Pelodiscus sinensis: one gene and its partner. The protein of the gene in region 1 binds, or shares a complex with, the protein of each later gene. Links are inferred from orthologs where the notes say so. Each region holds a gene or a part of one and is shown in the gene's direction. Other genes may lie near its edges.

Evidence for each region. Proteins that work in one complex are often made in the same cells at the same time.
Region 2: GTF2H3 (region 1) and GTF2B share a complex: the UniProt entries of both Homo sapiens proteins name them as parts of the TFIID-containing RNA polymerase II pre-initiation complex. The link is inferred for Pelodiscus sinensis from reciprocal best matches to the Homo sapiens genes GTF2H3 and GTF2B.

What each region holds. Positions count from the first base shown.
Region 1 is NC_134725.1:31,220,780-31,229,029, reverse strand, and holds the start of GTF2H3 (general transcription factor IIH subunit 3), read left to right. Parts: upstream 1-5,139; 5' UTR 5,140-5,178; coding exon 5,179-5,269; intron 5,270-6,016; coding exon 6,017-6,096; intron 6,097-8,250. Other genes in the region: EIF2B1 (translation initiation factor eIF2B subunit alpha), read right to left, coding at 46-182, 4,710-4,811, 5,016-5,028. UniProt on the Homo sapiens protein: Component of the general transcription and DNA repair factor IIH (TFIIH) core complex, which is involved in general and transcription-coupled nucleotide excision repair (NER) of damaged DNA and, when complexed to CAK, in RNA transcription by RNA polymerase II.
Region 2 is NC_134719.1:32,367,310-32,374,871, reverse strand, and holds the start of GTF2B (transcription initiation factor IIB), read left to right. Parts: upstream 1-4,419; 5' UTR 4,420-4,540; coding exon 4,541-4,557; intron 4,558-7,374; coding exon 7,375-7,481; intron 7,482-7,562. UniProt on the Homo sapiens protein: General transcription factor that plays a role in transcription initiation by RNA polymerase II (Pol II). Involved in the pre-initiation complex (PIC) formation and Pol II recruitment at promoter DNA.

The sequences.
Region 1 (8,250 bases):
TTACCTCACTGATCCCTAAAGTATTACATTTGGTGACAAACTCACCGAGTATTCCAATGAGGTTAAACTGATAAACCTTAGAAAGAGTTCTCCCCCTGAAGAGACTGCCACTGAAGAGTCAACACCAGACAGAGTTTCAATTGCATTTTTGAGATTTACTCTCAAACCCTGAATGGTCTCACCTGAGAGAGAGAGAGAGAGAGAAATGCAAACTTCATTTTAAAACAAGATACTCATTACATGCTAGACAGAAGTTTAGATATATTCTGGTATAGCACTAATGGGGGACTCACTTGGTATTTTTCCTTCGATGTATTAGGATTATAGTGGAAGTTTATTATACCATGGAACAATTCTACAACCGATTCCATAAGTTTGGATAAAATCTATAGTCTAGTAAGCTCTACCTGCATTCTGCCCTCCATCCAACTTTCTCTAGAATAACAGTAATCTTAAAAAAAATATAAGTACACCTGAAACATATATCACTGCCAGGAACTAAAATTGATTAAATACTACTACACAGTTAACAAGTAGTGTTGACTTCTCCCATCCGTTCATTGATGTGCTTTGATTGTAACTTGAAGGACAAGTTATTGACATTATTCAGGTAATTCAGCAGCCATGATTAGCCACTCTGAGTAGACGAACACACATCCAATGAAGCAGATTATACTTAATGAAACAAACACCGCATACATTTGAAAACCTTTCTTGTATTAATACTGTTTTCCAGATTTTGATTATTAATGCACACTTCTCATAGCATGTGCTCATTTCTGCACATTATCTACCAGGCAAGTTTCTTACTTCAAACTTTTGATGAAGGTGTAGCCTGCTTTTTTGCTCCAAGACCTTCATCTTTAACTCTCTTCTGAATTTTAAAAAACAGTGTAGTTCAAAACACAGGGATTGCCTTTTACTGCAATGCAGGAGCAGGGGTATTTTTGTTGGTGTAAAAAAGAAAAGGCAAGATCTTGGAAGCAGAGATGAACTGCAGTTGTTTGTTTCTTGAAAAAGCAACAAATAATCACCTGAAGTACCACAAAGCTCTGAATTTCAGTTATCTGAAACACCATGAATTTGATTAGATGTGTCTCAAATTTAGGTTTGGCAGAATCTAATTAAAAAAAATTTTAATTAGGGTTTATTTTAATTTGCAGCTCACAGTTCTGCAAATATTTTGTAGTTTTAGCATCTTTTTCAGTTTTTATCAACTTAGTTTTCAGTTGCAGGAAATTACAGGGGTGTCAGACAATGATTGAATGATGTTTTCAAATAACTTCAGAGTGGTAGCTGAGTTGGTCTGTAGCAGGAAAAACTTTAAAAGCAATAAATAGTCTAGAAGCACTTCAAAGATTAAGAAAACATGCAGATGGTATTATGAGCTTTTGTGGGCGCCACCCAGTTCTTCAGATGACTGGAGTATTAGAAGTCCAGCTCCAAGAATAAATAAGGAGGGGGGAGAGGAGAAAAGGAGGGGCGAAGAAAAAAAAAAAGAGAGACAGGCTATGTCTACACTGCAAGGTTTTTGCACAAAACAGCTGTTTGTGCAAAAACCCATGGGGCGTCCACACCCCAAATGCGCTTTTGCGCAAGTAAATCAACAATAAAACAGCAGGAGAGAGGGCCTTCTCTGGTGTAGGTAAACCTCCTTTTATGAGGCATAACTCCTTGCTGCGCTACAGCTATTGCGCAAAAAGGCAAGTGTAGATGCCCTATGAGAAAACCTCTCTTGCATAAGAAACCCCTATGGGAAAAAGCACAGCTGCCCTGATGGCCACTCACAGAATGGCCATCAGAGCTTTCTTGTGCAAGAGTGTCCATACGGTGTGGATGCTCTCTTGCGCAAAAGCACATCACTTTTGCGATGTGCTTTGAGGTGTGGACATGCTCTTGCACAAGTAGTTTTTGCACAAAAACTCTTGCGCAAAAGGCTTCTTGTACAAGAAGCCTGCAGTGTAGAGTAGCTACTGTGAGTAGATGTTTCAAGTGGTTACAAGAGGCTGATAAGAACAATTAGCACCTCCACTGTTTGTTGGTTGGTTAAGTCATTAGGATGTGGAAAGTAGTGTGGGACCAGGAGATTTCTATCTGCTACCTAAGATACACAAACCTGGAAATCCCAGACGAACCATCATCTCAACCATTGGCACACTTACAACAGGATTGTTCGGCTATATTGACTCTCTCCTCAGACCCTATGCTACCAGCACTCTGACCTATCTTTGAGACACTACTGACTTAGAGGAAACTATAAAACAGTAATCTTCTTGAAAACACCATCCTGGCCACCATGGATGCAGAAGCTTTTTATACCAACATTCCACAGGAAGATGGATTACCGGCTGTCAGGAGCACAATCCCTGATGACAGCACTTCACACCTGGTTACAGAGGTTTGTCCTCACCCACAACTACTTCACATTTGGAGACAATCTGTATCTTCAAGTCAGTGGTACAGCCATGGGCACCTGCATGGCACCGCAATATGCCAAGGTCTTTATGACTGACCTTAAACCAACGTTTCCTCAGCTCTCACCCCTAGTACACTTACGCTATATTGATGACATCTTCATCATATGGGAAAGAGATCTTTGAAGAATTTCACAGGAATTTCAACAACTTCCAGCCCACTACCAACCTTAGCCTGGATTAGTCCACATGAGGGATCTACTTCCTTCACACTACAGTACAATTAAATGATGGACAAATTTCCACCACCCTATACCGGAAACCTACTGACCGCTACACTTACCTTCATGCCTTTAGCTTCCATCCCAGACACATTTCTCAATTTATTGTTGACAGCCAAGCCCTAAGTTACAAGTGGATTTGCTCCAGTCCCACAAACAGAGACAAACGCCTACAGGATCTACACAGAGCATTCTTAAAACTGAAATACCCACCCGTAGCTCTGAAAAAAACAGACTGACAGAGCCAAAAGAATACCCAGACACGAACTACCTCAAGACAGGCCCAAAAGAGAAAACAAGAGAATTCCTCTTGTCATCACCTACAGTCCACAACTTAAACCTCTCCAAAGCATTATCAACAATCTACAACCCATCCTGGAAAATGACCCCTCACTCTCAGAGGCTTTGGGGGAAAGGCCAATCCTTGCCTACAGACAACCCCCTAACCTTAAACAAATTATTTCCAGTAAGCATGCAACTTACCTCCATCATAATCATCCTGGACCTCACCCCTGCAATCAGCCCTGGTGCCAAATCTGCCCACACATCTATACTATCAATTTCATCAATTGGACCCAACCACATCAGCCACCAAGAGGCTCATTTAACTGCACATCCACTAATGTGATCTTTGCCATCAAATGCTAACAATGCTCCACTGCAGTGTATATTGGCCAGTTTCCACATTACAGGAAAATGGACACATCACATATTCAAAAAGGCAATACACAAAAAATTGTTAGAGAACACTTTCATCTGCTTGGACATTCATTAATGGATCTCTAAGTCACGGTGTTATTTCAGGCCAATTCCACAAGCCAAATACACAGGGAAGAATTGGAATTTAACTTCATTTACAAGTGTAATTCTTATGCAAATAGTATGAAATGGGACATCCATTGGCTGGCATACTAACTTCCACATCCTAATGACTTAAACAATGGAGGTGCTAATTGTTCTTATCAGCCTCTTGTAAACACTTGAAATATTTACTCACTGTCTCTCTCTCTCTTTTTTTCCCCCCTTCTTCCCCTGCCCTTATTTATGCTTGGATCCAGACTTCTAATATTCCATTCAGCTGAAGAAGTGGGTTGTGCCCACAAAAGCTCATGATACCATCTACATGTTTTGTTAGTCTTTAAGGTGCTACTATACTATTTGTTGTTTTTTAAGTTTGTCCTTGAATAAGTTCTCAGGCAGCATTTTTCTTTTTAAAGGTTAATAATTATCAATGGAAACCTTTTTTGGTTGGTTGATATGCGGACCAGGGATGTTAACTATCGATTAACTGACTAGTCGAGTAACCTCATGACTTACTGGTTAGTCAACAAGTATATAGTCTTTGGGGGTGGGGCCAGCAGCCAATGTGCTCTGGCATCATATTGCTGCCTCTGTATCAAAGGAAGCAGCGTGGGGTACCAGGCAGTAACTCATCCATGAGGGAAGCCAGTTTAAAAACCAGCTTCCCTTGCGGACTGGCTGGCTGTTACCCTGTGCTGCTGCCTTTGATAAACAGGTAGCAGTGTGGGGCAGCAGCTGCCTCTGTCAAGAGGGTCTGAGCTCCCGGACTCAGTGCGAGATGAAAATGATCCAGGCTGCCTGCTCACCCAGCTCCTAATACGCTTTAAATGCTGAGTTACAGCACGGGTAGGTCCCGGACCTGCCGCAAGCCAGGACTGAGCTGGACTACTGACAGGGCTGCTAAAAAATTGACTGGCAAGGCTGAGGGGAGGGAAATGCATGTCTATAGCATTAACCTATAAGCTTTTGTTTATCAGTTAATCGGATACACTATTGCATTCCTAATGTGTAGGGTGAAACAGGTTTATAAACAAAATCCGTCCAAGCCTATGACAGCTGTGTGCAAGGTGGTCAGTGATGTGTATTGCACTGGCCTCTACTGGACGGATTCAGCACTTCAGTGCGCATCTTACGTGACCATCTCCCGGTCGCTGCTGGGCAGGGCCCCGGGTTGGAGTCCCGCGCTCGCCCAGCAGAGCAGCTGGGCCGGTACCTTTGTCTTGCTTTAGGAACTCCAGCAGCGCGCGGATAGCCGCCACGGCAGAGGCCACGTCAGGATCCTCCCGCATCTGGGCTTTGAAGGCCTCGATCAGCTCTGGAAGGGAAACGGGGCCCATCAGCCGCAGGGACCCGCCCGCCACGGGGAAGCCCCACCTGGGGCTGGGCAGGTCTGGTCCCTCCGGTCCAGGGAGCGGGGCAGGCGCAGCCTCAGGCCGGGAGGGGGATGGCACGTGTCCGCCGCGGCTCTGGCGAGGGGGCGGTTAATCCCCACCCCGGATCGGGCCCCGGGCCTCCTTACCTGCGTCGTTCATGGTGTCAGCGGCAGGCGGCCCGGGCCCCCGGCAGCCGCAAGAGCCGAGTCTGTTCCCGCCGCTCACGCGGAGCCGCTGTCCCCGCCCGGCGCTTGCTCGCGGGGGCACCACTTCCGGCCGGCTCTTGCAGCATCACGCGTCGTGCGACCAATGAGCAGTGACATCGTCTCGAGGCGCCGGAAGCGAAAGTCCGGCCGGTGCCCGCTCTTCGCCTGCCTGAGGCTGGGCACTATGAGCGCAGGTGAGTCCTGGCCAGGCGCCGCGCCGGAAGCGGGGCTGGCGTCTCCCGCGCGCTCTCCTCAGGGCCCGGTGCGAGGCCTCTCTGCTGCCTCCTCTCTCCGCCGCGGGGTCCCTCGGCCCCGTCCTCCCGGCCGTGCCCGGGGCTGCGTCCGGCGGATGCAGCTGCTGCCCGCGAGCCCCGCTGAGTTCCGCAGCCAGCACCGCCTTTCCCTTGTGTGGGGCAGCCACGCTGCCTACGCCCCACAGGCGTTGGGTTTGGAAACGGCACCTGCGTGCGATCTGTGAACAGAGGGGTTGAGAGAGAAACCGATAAACGCTGAAAAGAAGCCCTATGTCAGGCTCCCGGTCCATGCATTTCTGTAGTGCCTCTGCCTCCTATCCGGCTTCCAATAATACAGTCTTCATTACTGTAACATAATGCGTTCTACTCCTGTTCCATGTGGTTCATGGATATTTGGCAATAAACACATGGAAAAACTGCAATTATGCTGAATCTTTGACTGTGTGCTAACTTTTTTTTGCTGTTGTGTGTGTGACTAAAATGTTATTAAATAAAAGTGTATTTAATTTTAAAACAGGCCAATATAAAAACAAGATCCTGCAAACCCTTATGCACTCTTAGCTAAATGAGTGTTAAAACATCTGGTATTTTTGCCTATAGACCTTTAAATGTTAAGTTTCCCATATTTCCAAAGGAGCTGCTGTGTTGTCTGTTCTCAAACATATGCATTATTATTGCTTTTTTTAGATGATGAACTAAATCTCTTAGTCGTCATCGTTGACACCAACCCTATCTGGTGGGGGAAGAAAGCACTAGGACAATCAGAGGTAAGGCTTCCTGACCAGCATCAGTCACAATGTAGTTTTCCAGAAGACTTTTCTGTAATTTTTTAACAGTTCTGTTTTAAATGAATGACAATCCAAATTGCAGTGCATTTGTTGAAGAGAAACTGTGAAATACTTTTTGAATACAAAATTAGAATAATACTACACAACATAAGACCGGTCATATTGGGTAAAACCAAAAGTTCATCTAGCCCAGTATCCTGTCTTCCAGCAGTGCCACGTGCCCCAGAAGGAATGAACAGAACAGGTAATCATCAAGTGATCTATTCTATGTTACTCATTCCCAGTTCTGGTTAACAGATGGTAGGGCAGGCCTGGGCAAAATCCGGCCCAGAGAAACCCTAGACAGACTCCCTATTTGCCTCGCCCCACCTGCACGCTGCTTAGAAAAGTGGCTGCCAGGCCGTTTCTCTCCCAAAACTCTGAGCTGGGAGGAGTGGGGAGGGCCTTCAGGTGTTTCCCAAATCCCCAGAACAATCCCAGAAACCAGCCAATGGGAGTTGCCTGTTTGAATAAAAGGCAGCCATGAAGCACCATGCCCCCTCCCCTCTGGCTTGTAGTTATTTACACACACACGGCCCTGCAGCCTGGGGAGGACAGGCAGGCAGGTTGCCTGAGAAATCCACTGGAGTGCTGGCCAGGAATCACCTAAGTAAGTGTCCTGACCAGAGCCTGCCTCAGGCACCCCAGCCTCTCCCCCAACACTTTGCCCCCCGCTCCTGCCCTCTATTCCACATACCCAAACCCTTTGCCCACCCTCCTATGTTCCCCCAATCCCCTTCTTCAGATTACAGTCCCTTCCTATTCTAGGTCACAACCAAAACCCCTGTCCTAGGTAATATCCCAAACCCTTGCATCCCAGGTAACAACCCATTTCTGACCTAGGTTAAAATCCAAACCCCAGTCCAGAGCCCCAGGTCACCATCGCCTCTTTCACCCAAACTCCTTCCCAGACCCCACACTTCCTCCTGCACCCCAGTCACTTATTCCAAGCTCTCTTCTGCACCCAACCTCCATCCTAGACTCTGCACGTCATCCATTAATGTCATGGAAGAGTGCAGTCCTTGACCACTTTCCAAATTCTTGGAGTGGCCCCCCCCATCAAAATTATTTCCCATTCCTGCTCTAGAGACACCAAACTTGCTTGTCTTGGTAATAATCATTGATGGACTTTATCCTCCATTAATTTATCTAGTTCTTTTTTTGAACCCGTTATAGTCTTGGTCTTCACAACATCCTTTGTCAAAAAATTCGTAATTGTGTGAAGAAATATTTCCTTTTATTTGTTTTAAAACCTACTGCCTATTTAATTTGGTAACCCATAGTTCTTGTGTAATGAAATGGGGTAAATAGCACTTCCTTATCTATTTTCTCAGTACTAGTTATTATTTTATAGACATCACCCTAAGTCATCCCTTTTCCAAGTGAAAAGTCCCTGTCTTATTAAAGTTTCATCATATGGAAGATGTTTCATACCCCTAATTAATTTTTGTTGAATCATCATAAAATAGTTGCAGTAATATCTTAAGAATGTAAGAACAGCTATACTGGGTCAGACCAATGGTCCATCAAGTCCAGTATCCTGTGCAACCTCTGGCCCCCCATTCTTTCCCTGCAGCCTGATCCCCTACTTTGCCCCATGCCCCTCAGTGCAATCTCTGCACCCTCCCATCCTGCCCCTGGATCTTCCTTCACCCCCCTTCTTCATCCACATCCTTGTGCCCTTAGTGCACTCAAGTAGGGTAGCAGTGCTGGAGTGAAGAGAGGTGGTGCGGGACAGAATAGCCGTGCTGGAGTGAGGAGAGGCAGAGGGAGTAGAATTTCTTCCCTGCCCGGACCAGCTCTTTGCCTGCAGGCTGCAGGTCTGAGGCTGGGGCAGGCAGAGCCTGGTGCTGCCTAGGGCTGGCTCTAGCCTGGCTGGGTGTAGAAGTGCTCTGGAGAAGGGGCTCCTCATCTCTGCACACAGCCGGTGGGGAGCATACTGGGTCCTGGTGCCCCATGTGTGACTGGCCACCCAGCCCTACCCCCTCTCAAAGCAAGAAGGCTGTAGCCAGGAAGAGGTGAGGGTTAACCCCTTAGCTCCTGGAAGCTGCATGCACAGGCTGAGCAGGGGCAGCCCCAGGGACATGTGCATGC
Region 2 (7,562 bases), on another chromosome or scaffold:
ACATACAAAATGATGGGGTCTAAATTAGCTCTTTCTACTCAAGAAAGAAATCTTGGAGTCATCATGGCTAGTTCTCTGAAACATCCACTTAATGTGCAGCAGCAATCAAAAAAGTAAACAGAATTATTAAGAAAGCTATAGATAATAAGATGGAAAATATATTTCCTCCTATATAAATCCAGGGTACACCCACATCTTGAATACTGCATGCAGGTGTGGCCATCCCATCTCAAAGGTATATCGTAAGTGGAAAAGATTCAGAAAAAGCAACAAAAATTATTAGGGTCTAGAATGCCTGCCATACAAGGAGAGATTAATAAGGCTGGGACTTTTGAGTTTGGAAAAGAGACATTAAAGGGAGAATATGATAGAGATCTATATAATCATGATCGATGTGGGGAAAGTAAATAAGGAAGTATTATTTGCACCTCATTACACAGGAACTAGGGGTTAAACAAATGAATTTAATAGGCAAAGATTTTAAAACAAACAGTGTTTTTTTTAACTCAACACACAGTCACTCTGTCAAACTCTTTGCAAAGGATGTTGTAAAGGCCAAGACTATAACAAAGTTTGAAAAACAACTAGATGGAGTATGCCCATCAATGGCTATTAGCTAGGATGGGCAAGGATGGTGTCCCTGACCTATTTTCCAGAAGCTGTAGATAGGCAATGGGGTGGATCACCTGATGATTCCTGTTGTTTTCATTCCCTGTGGGGCATGTGGCAATGGCCACTGTCCAAAAACAGGATACTGGACTTGATGGACCATTGGTTTGAATGTGTATAGCCAATCTTATGTTTGTATTGATCCTTCATATTTTGAAGCTCTCTGCCCCCAGTAGAGGGGCCAGTGATGTACCTTCACTTAATCAACTACAGTGCAATCTATTAATATAACACAATGTAGTTCAGGGTTGATGTGCATTACCTGAGTTTCTCTCAACTCAAAGCTTGGGCTAATTATAGTCTTTGGAAGGCAATGTCAGGAAGAAAAAAATCAAAGCACATCCATCTGATTAAAGCTTGTCAGAAACCCACAATACTTTTACCCAAGCTTACTATTTTATTAGATTTCAAGCACATACAGATATGCAAAAGGCATAGAGCATCCCTAATTATTAGTTACCCATAGTCTGCAGGGGTGTTGTGCAGTCAATGCACACTGTGTAAGTGGCCAGCTATATGTCTGTGGCTGGGGATTCCAATAGATGTTCAGGTCAAATCCAAATTCCTCAGACTTATCTACCATTTTTATGTTAGTAACTGCTACAATTACATCAGTGTGTCAATCAACAAAAAACCATTAAGCAAGCAATTTTAAGCCATTGGTCCCACAGCTGTATTTCTACACAATTTCAAGGTATAGCTAGACAACGTTTTTTTTAAAGGCGGAGACTTCAGATTTTTCAAGAGAGCTTAATAAGAAAGGATCATGCTTATTTCTCAAGGTCACCTTCTCTCTTTTGCCCACCCCAATCTATTTAGTTATGTGAAGGCTGCTACAAAGGCCTTCCAGCTCCTGTTTGTCAATAAGCATAATAATATTCCAGTACTGGCAGCAGTCAAGGCAGTTTGCTGGGCTGTCAAAATCTTCCCTCATAATATGCACCAGGTGGTAGATGCTTGACCGGTGGGAGCCAGTTTGCAGGTTGTTCTCAACCCTTATCTACCGTAACTGAACCTTTGTTTGTTAGGGTGATAAAAATATGCACGTAAAGAAAACTTTGTCGTGGCTTTAGTCAACCGACCAGTGTTGGTGTTTTATACTAGGTCTCAGATCTCTGCATTATCTTGTATGCTGCACTCTACTGGCAACTTCCAGGCATATATCAGGAGCAGCAGCAATGTCTGTGAGGATTGATGCGGGTAGGCTTATGGCAGTGGTCTCCAACCTTTTTACACCCAAGATCACTTTTTAAATGACAGAACAAGCCAAGAACTACTGCCCCGCCCCTTCCTTGAAGCCTCGCCCTCTCTGTTCTCCTCCTCTCCGTCACTTGCTATCCTCAACCCTTATACTGCTGCTTTTTTCCCCCAATTTTTCTGTAGAAAGAGGTTTTTCCAACATTTGGCCTGTCTAGTCTGGACCAAATGTCAGAAAACCCCCTTCTTTTGGAAGCCCCCTTATTGCTCATGGAAAGTGGAATATAGGGGTGACCGAAAGATCATGTTTGCTCTTCCACTAAAAGAAGCAGAAGAACAAATGCATCCCTGGATGCAGAAGTGTTTTTCTGGGATATCTCCGGAATCCTGAAAAACTCCCGCAGTCTAGCTGTAACCTTGCTTGGTTGAGACAGGATGTATACGCTCTGGGGTGGGAATGAGGGATTTGGGTGTGGGAAGGGGTGAGAGGTGCAAGCTCTGGGAGGAAATTTATATGTAGGAGAAGGTAGATAAGGGGATGCTGGCTCAGGGAGGGGGTGCCAGGCCGGGCAGTGTTGGGGTCAGATGTAGGGTTAGGGTACTAAGCAAGCCACAGACTTCTGGATGTAAGGGTTCAGGAATTTGGGTTGGGGTATGTGAGGGGCTCAGGGCAGGGGGTTCCAGTGTATGATAGGCTCATATGTAGGGTCTGGGGGAAAGGGGAGTGCTGGAGTGTTATGATGCTGTGGCCAGATGGGGGCTTGGCCCCAATTTGGGGTTTGTTGGCCAGGCTTCATTTTTAAATAAAATACTATGTCAAACAAAAAGTTTCTGCATTGTCTTTATTTCTGAGAAGGGCAGGGAACCTGTTTTGAGTCAGGGGTCACTGACCCAAGAAAAGTCAGTTGGGGCCACACAAGTGAGATGCAACCCCCCCCCCCCTCCAAGCTTCATTAATGTGGCCCCAACTGTGTTGGTAGGAACAGGGGACATAGTACTGGGGAAGGATGCTAGTGCTTTGGCAGGGGACAAGGTGCCAGTGGGAACAGAGTTCTGTGGCTGGGGGCAGGGGAAAGGGAACAGGGTGCTGGGAGGGCAGAAGACAGGGTTCTGCAGCAGGGGACAGAGAGCCAGTGGGAACAGGTTTCTGCAGCTGGGGAAACCCTGCGCACGCCTGCTCCAGGACCGAAACCCTGCATGCACCTGCCCCAGGGCCGAAACACCTCCCCCCCCCAGACCAGGGAAACCCTGTGCGCACTTGCCCCAGGGCAGACTCACCCCTCCTGCGCTGGTGCAGGGAAGTCGTGGTGCTCCTCTTCCAGGGCCAACCCAACCCCCTCCCGCAGCGCGCCTGGCAGAGCAGCCAGCGTGTTTCCGGAACCCCCGGAAGTGGCGCAAAGCTGCAGGACTTCCGTCCACCCGTGGGAAGCTGGCACTACCTCCATTTTTGCAGGAGGTAGGTAGTGGGGCTTCTCGGGGGTGGGAGGAAAATGGGGGGAGGGCCCGGACACCTCACAATCAACTGGTTGAGGCCTCACGATTGATCTGTTGGTGACCATGGGCTTACAGCATCCTGCAATATAGCAGCAGATGGCATTGAGTACAAGGGTTAGCTTCCTTTGTGTGAGAAGATTGTGCCCAGGATACTGCAAAGGTCTATTCAAGGGAAAAGTAGCAAGAGGGCCAGTGCCAGAGGTGTCAAGTGATATGGACCCACGCTGAGTGGGCACCAGGAACATTCCTGGCTTGGGAGCTCTGCTGCAGCAGTTTGGGGCTGGGTCTTCCCCCCCAACCTCACCTGTACAATTTAAAATGGCCTGGAGGCCTTGTCTGCCACCCCCGGCAGCACCGCAGGGCTAGAACAGCTTCCTACCGCTTGCCTAGCGGCGGACACATCCCAGTGGTCTTTGCATGGCAACCCTAGCCTCAATGCCCCTATGCCCATTGGGAGCTGTGGGGCAGAGCCTGAGAGCAGAGGCATGTGAGATACCTTGTCACACCCTCTCCCAGGAGCCATGCCAGAGGGGCGTATCCCAGTAAGTGCTGCATTCCCACCTCAACCTGCCACCTAGAGCCTGCACCCCCGCCTCCTCCCCTGCATTGCCCCTCCTGCCCCAAACTCCCCCCCAGAGCCTGTATTATTCCTCCCCTCCTCCTGCACCTCCGCCCCAGCCCAGAGCCTGCACCCACAGTCCCTCCCAGAGCCCAGCCCAGAGCCTCCTGCCCCGCCCAGAGCCGTAGGCAGGTGGGGGAGGGGCCGGGCCCTGTTCTGGGCGCCGCCCACAATTCTACAGGCTGTGGCCGCTGGTCACCGGGGCTACAACGCTGAGCACGAGCCCCCACTGGGCAGGGTCCCCGCGGGGCAGCGGCGCGCCCTGGGAATGGAAAAGGAACCTGGCCCAGACTCCAGAGGCCGGGCACAGAGCCGCTGTAACGCCCCGCCCGCCGGCGCGCAGCTCCCCACGCTGCTGTTGCCGTCTCCCGGCACTTACGTTAAGGCAGCTGAACGCGAACCCTTCTGGTTTGTCCCTTTGCGCAGCCTGTAGCGACCGCCTGGCAGAGCCCCGCCTTCCGTGTCGGAGGAGATATAAGGGGGTAGGCTGCGTGCGCCTGACCCAGACCTGGACGGAGACAGGGACGAGGAAGGAAGGAAGGAAGGAAGGAAGGAACGAACATGGCGTCTACCAGCCGGTGAGGGGAGCGGGCGGCCTAGGGCCCCTGGGGGTCTCTGGCCGGGATTCCGGGCTGTCGGCCGGGGCGAGAAAATGGCCGCGTCGCTCCGCAGATTCAGCTCCCGGGTCAGCAACGCTGAACCCCCCCCCTCCCCCCCAGCTGCTATTTCGGGTCCTGGTTCCTGCCTGTCAGTCCCGATCCCTCCCCCCCCCCCCGGACCCTTCGCTCTCCCCGGGCCCTTTCTCCGCTCCCGGGGGGGGGGGCTTTGATCTCCTCGCTGTGGCGCCCCTCTCCGCTCCCAAGGGCTCCGTAGCCGGGTTCTCCGTGTGCGGCCCCTTCCCTCCGCCGCCGCCTCCTGCTTGAAGCAGCGACGAGCGTTTGTGCGCCAGGCCCAGGTTCCGGCCCGTGGTCATCGGGGCGCCGGGCTCCGCCTGAGCTTCCGTTTCCGAGGGTTTTGTGACCCGGCCTCGGAGCTCACAAGTGACGGGGTGGCCGGTGGGCTGCTGCGAATAGCCTGCAAAGGTTGGCCTAGGAAGTCGGAGATGTCTAGGGCGGTGATGGTTACCCCTACAGCCCTCACCTCCCGCCTGCACCTGGCCAGTGAATCCTGTACGCCAGGCAGGAGGGCCAAAGCCCGAGTCCTACGTTCGGGGGAGGGGAGGGCATGGGGAACTGAAACCCAGAGACTTCGGGAGACCTGTAATCTGATGCCTTAGTCGGTTGGCCTCAAGCTTTGGTCTCAAAGCCCAGTAGGTCTAACACTGTTAAAAAGGGGTTGTGATCCACTTTGGGGTCCTGACCTAAGGTGGGAGAACTGCTGCTGTAGGTAGATGGGAGACTTTAAAGCAGTGGCTTTCAAACTCTTTTAACTTGAGTACTCTTCCCCCCCCCCCCTTGAGTTACAATTTTTGGCTGTGTGCCCCACTCCCATACCTATTCCTCCATGCTCAGGTTTTCAGAAGGGGATGGCATATGTATGTGAGCATTGCAGGGGGCCTGAGTCAACAGTGGGCACAGAGATGTTGATATAGACTTGCATGCTGAATGACATTCAGAGTTGAGGTGGGGTGCAAGTGGTGCTCCCTCCTGGAGCCCTTCTGCTCTACCACCTGCACCTGTGTGCACACCCCACTCCCATTTTGCAAATCTCTGCTTCCTAGCACTTTAAATGTTAATTTACATAATTGATCTTTTAAATAAATATGCATTCTGGTCTAAAACCAATGTCTCCTAGAAAATGGATAGTTTGTTCTTACTGTGTTGCTGTGTAAAACTATCGTTAAGGTTAAATCGGGCCTTTCCACAAATTTCATATTTTAATGTGGATGGAAGAATTGCCATGTCTGGTTGCACATCCTGATTCTTCTAAATGTTTCCTAGTAAAAAAGAGTATTTCTTCACACAATGCTTAATGTAACTCATTGCCAACAGATGATGTGAAGGCCAAAAGTATAACTGTTAAAAAAATAGATAATGGAGGCTAGATCCATCAATGGCTATTAACCAAAAAGTCAGGAATATAACCCTATGCTCTGGCTGTCCAGAAGCTAGGCCTGAGTAACTGGATGGAACACTTGCTAATGGCCCTTTCTGTTCATTCTCTCTGAAGCACCTTGCACTGGCCACTGTTTTGAAGACCGGTTACTGGGCTAGATGGACCAGTAGTCTGACCCTGAATGACTGTTCTTATGTTAAAAACTCTTTCATTTCACACCCATTACATTCATTGTTAGGCAATATTCCATTATTCCCAATTTTCCTTCTTGTCATGATCATGTGGAACAGGGTGTCCTCGCTATATGTCCAAGATACCTTTAAACATCATGGGTGTATAGTAAAAGGGTGTAAAGCAGGGAAGTGTATGTGTGTCTGTCAGTCAGTCAGTAAAAAAAAAAAAGCTAGTATGGAACCAATGTATACCGGGGCAATTTATAGCAGGAATGCCCTGTATCAGTAGGCTCCTGATTTGGCCAGATTAGCAGTACTGACAACTACATCTGATTAGTCTTTGGGTTCTTGCCACAATTTTCCCTTTTAGACATTTATCAGCAGAGGTTAGTGATTGATTGGTCTCTATGCCTGAACTATCTTCTTTCTTCATTATGGGTGGAGAGAGTGCTTTCAAACCAGGACTAAAGGTACTGTGATGGGTCAAACTATTTCCTCTGCTGTATCTGCTCTAGAGTTAGTAAACATTTTCCAGTGTTATCACAACTTGTAGCAGGAGTAAAGTAAATGCCAAGCTTTGAGTAAACATCATGGCCATTAATTTTATTGAAGCATTTCCCTGTACATCATGCTGCTGATAAAGGATAGTCAGACCTCAGATCTGCTTTGTGCATCTACATTCAGTTCACTTTTTTTAAATACGCAGTCAGCTTTGTGAACATGGGATGCTAGAAGATAGTTGTTTTCTAAAACAGTCAAGAATGCACTGCTTACCGAAGAAATATTTTAATTGGATTTTAAAAAATGGCTAGCCAAATGCAGGAGTGACTATTTAGAAAGACATGGTTATCACTGATTTCTGGTAGGCATTTATTTAGTAAGAATGGATTTTCAGGTATAATTTACTATATATATATAAGTGTGTGTGTGTGTGTGTGTTATGTTTGGAGCACTTTACTAAATAAAGTAATCCTTGTGGATTTTATGAGGCAAGTTATTTAAGAATTTTAAACTGGATTTAAGAAATCCTATCTTATTGAATTATGTGTGGAAATCCTACGTAGTGCTCCTAATGTACTACTCCACCCAAACAGTTTGCATATTGTTTGTAAATTACTCAGTTGATTTGTGGTGCACGTTAAACATAAAAGTCTTTTTCTTTCTTAGTTTGGATGTGCTTCCCAGAGTGACATGTCCAAATCATCCAGATTCCATTTTAGTGGAGGATTACAGAGCTGGAGACATGATCTGTCCTGAATGTGGACTAGTAGTGGGTAAGTAGTTATTTAGGTTATTGTGACTCATTCTCAAAATGAACATCAGCTATCAGAAGGAGTAATTTGCCTTTTCTCAAG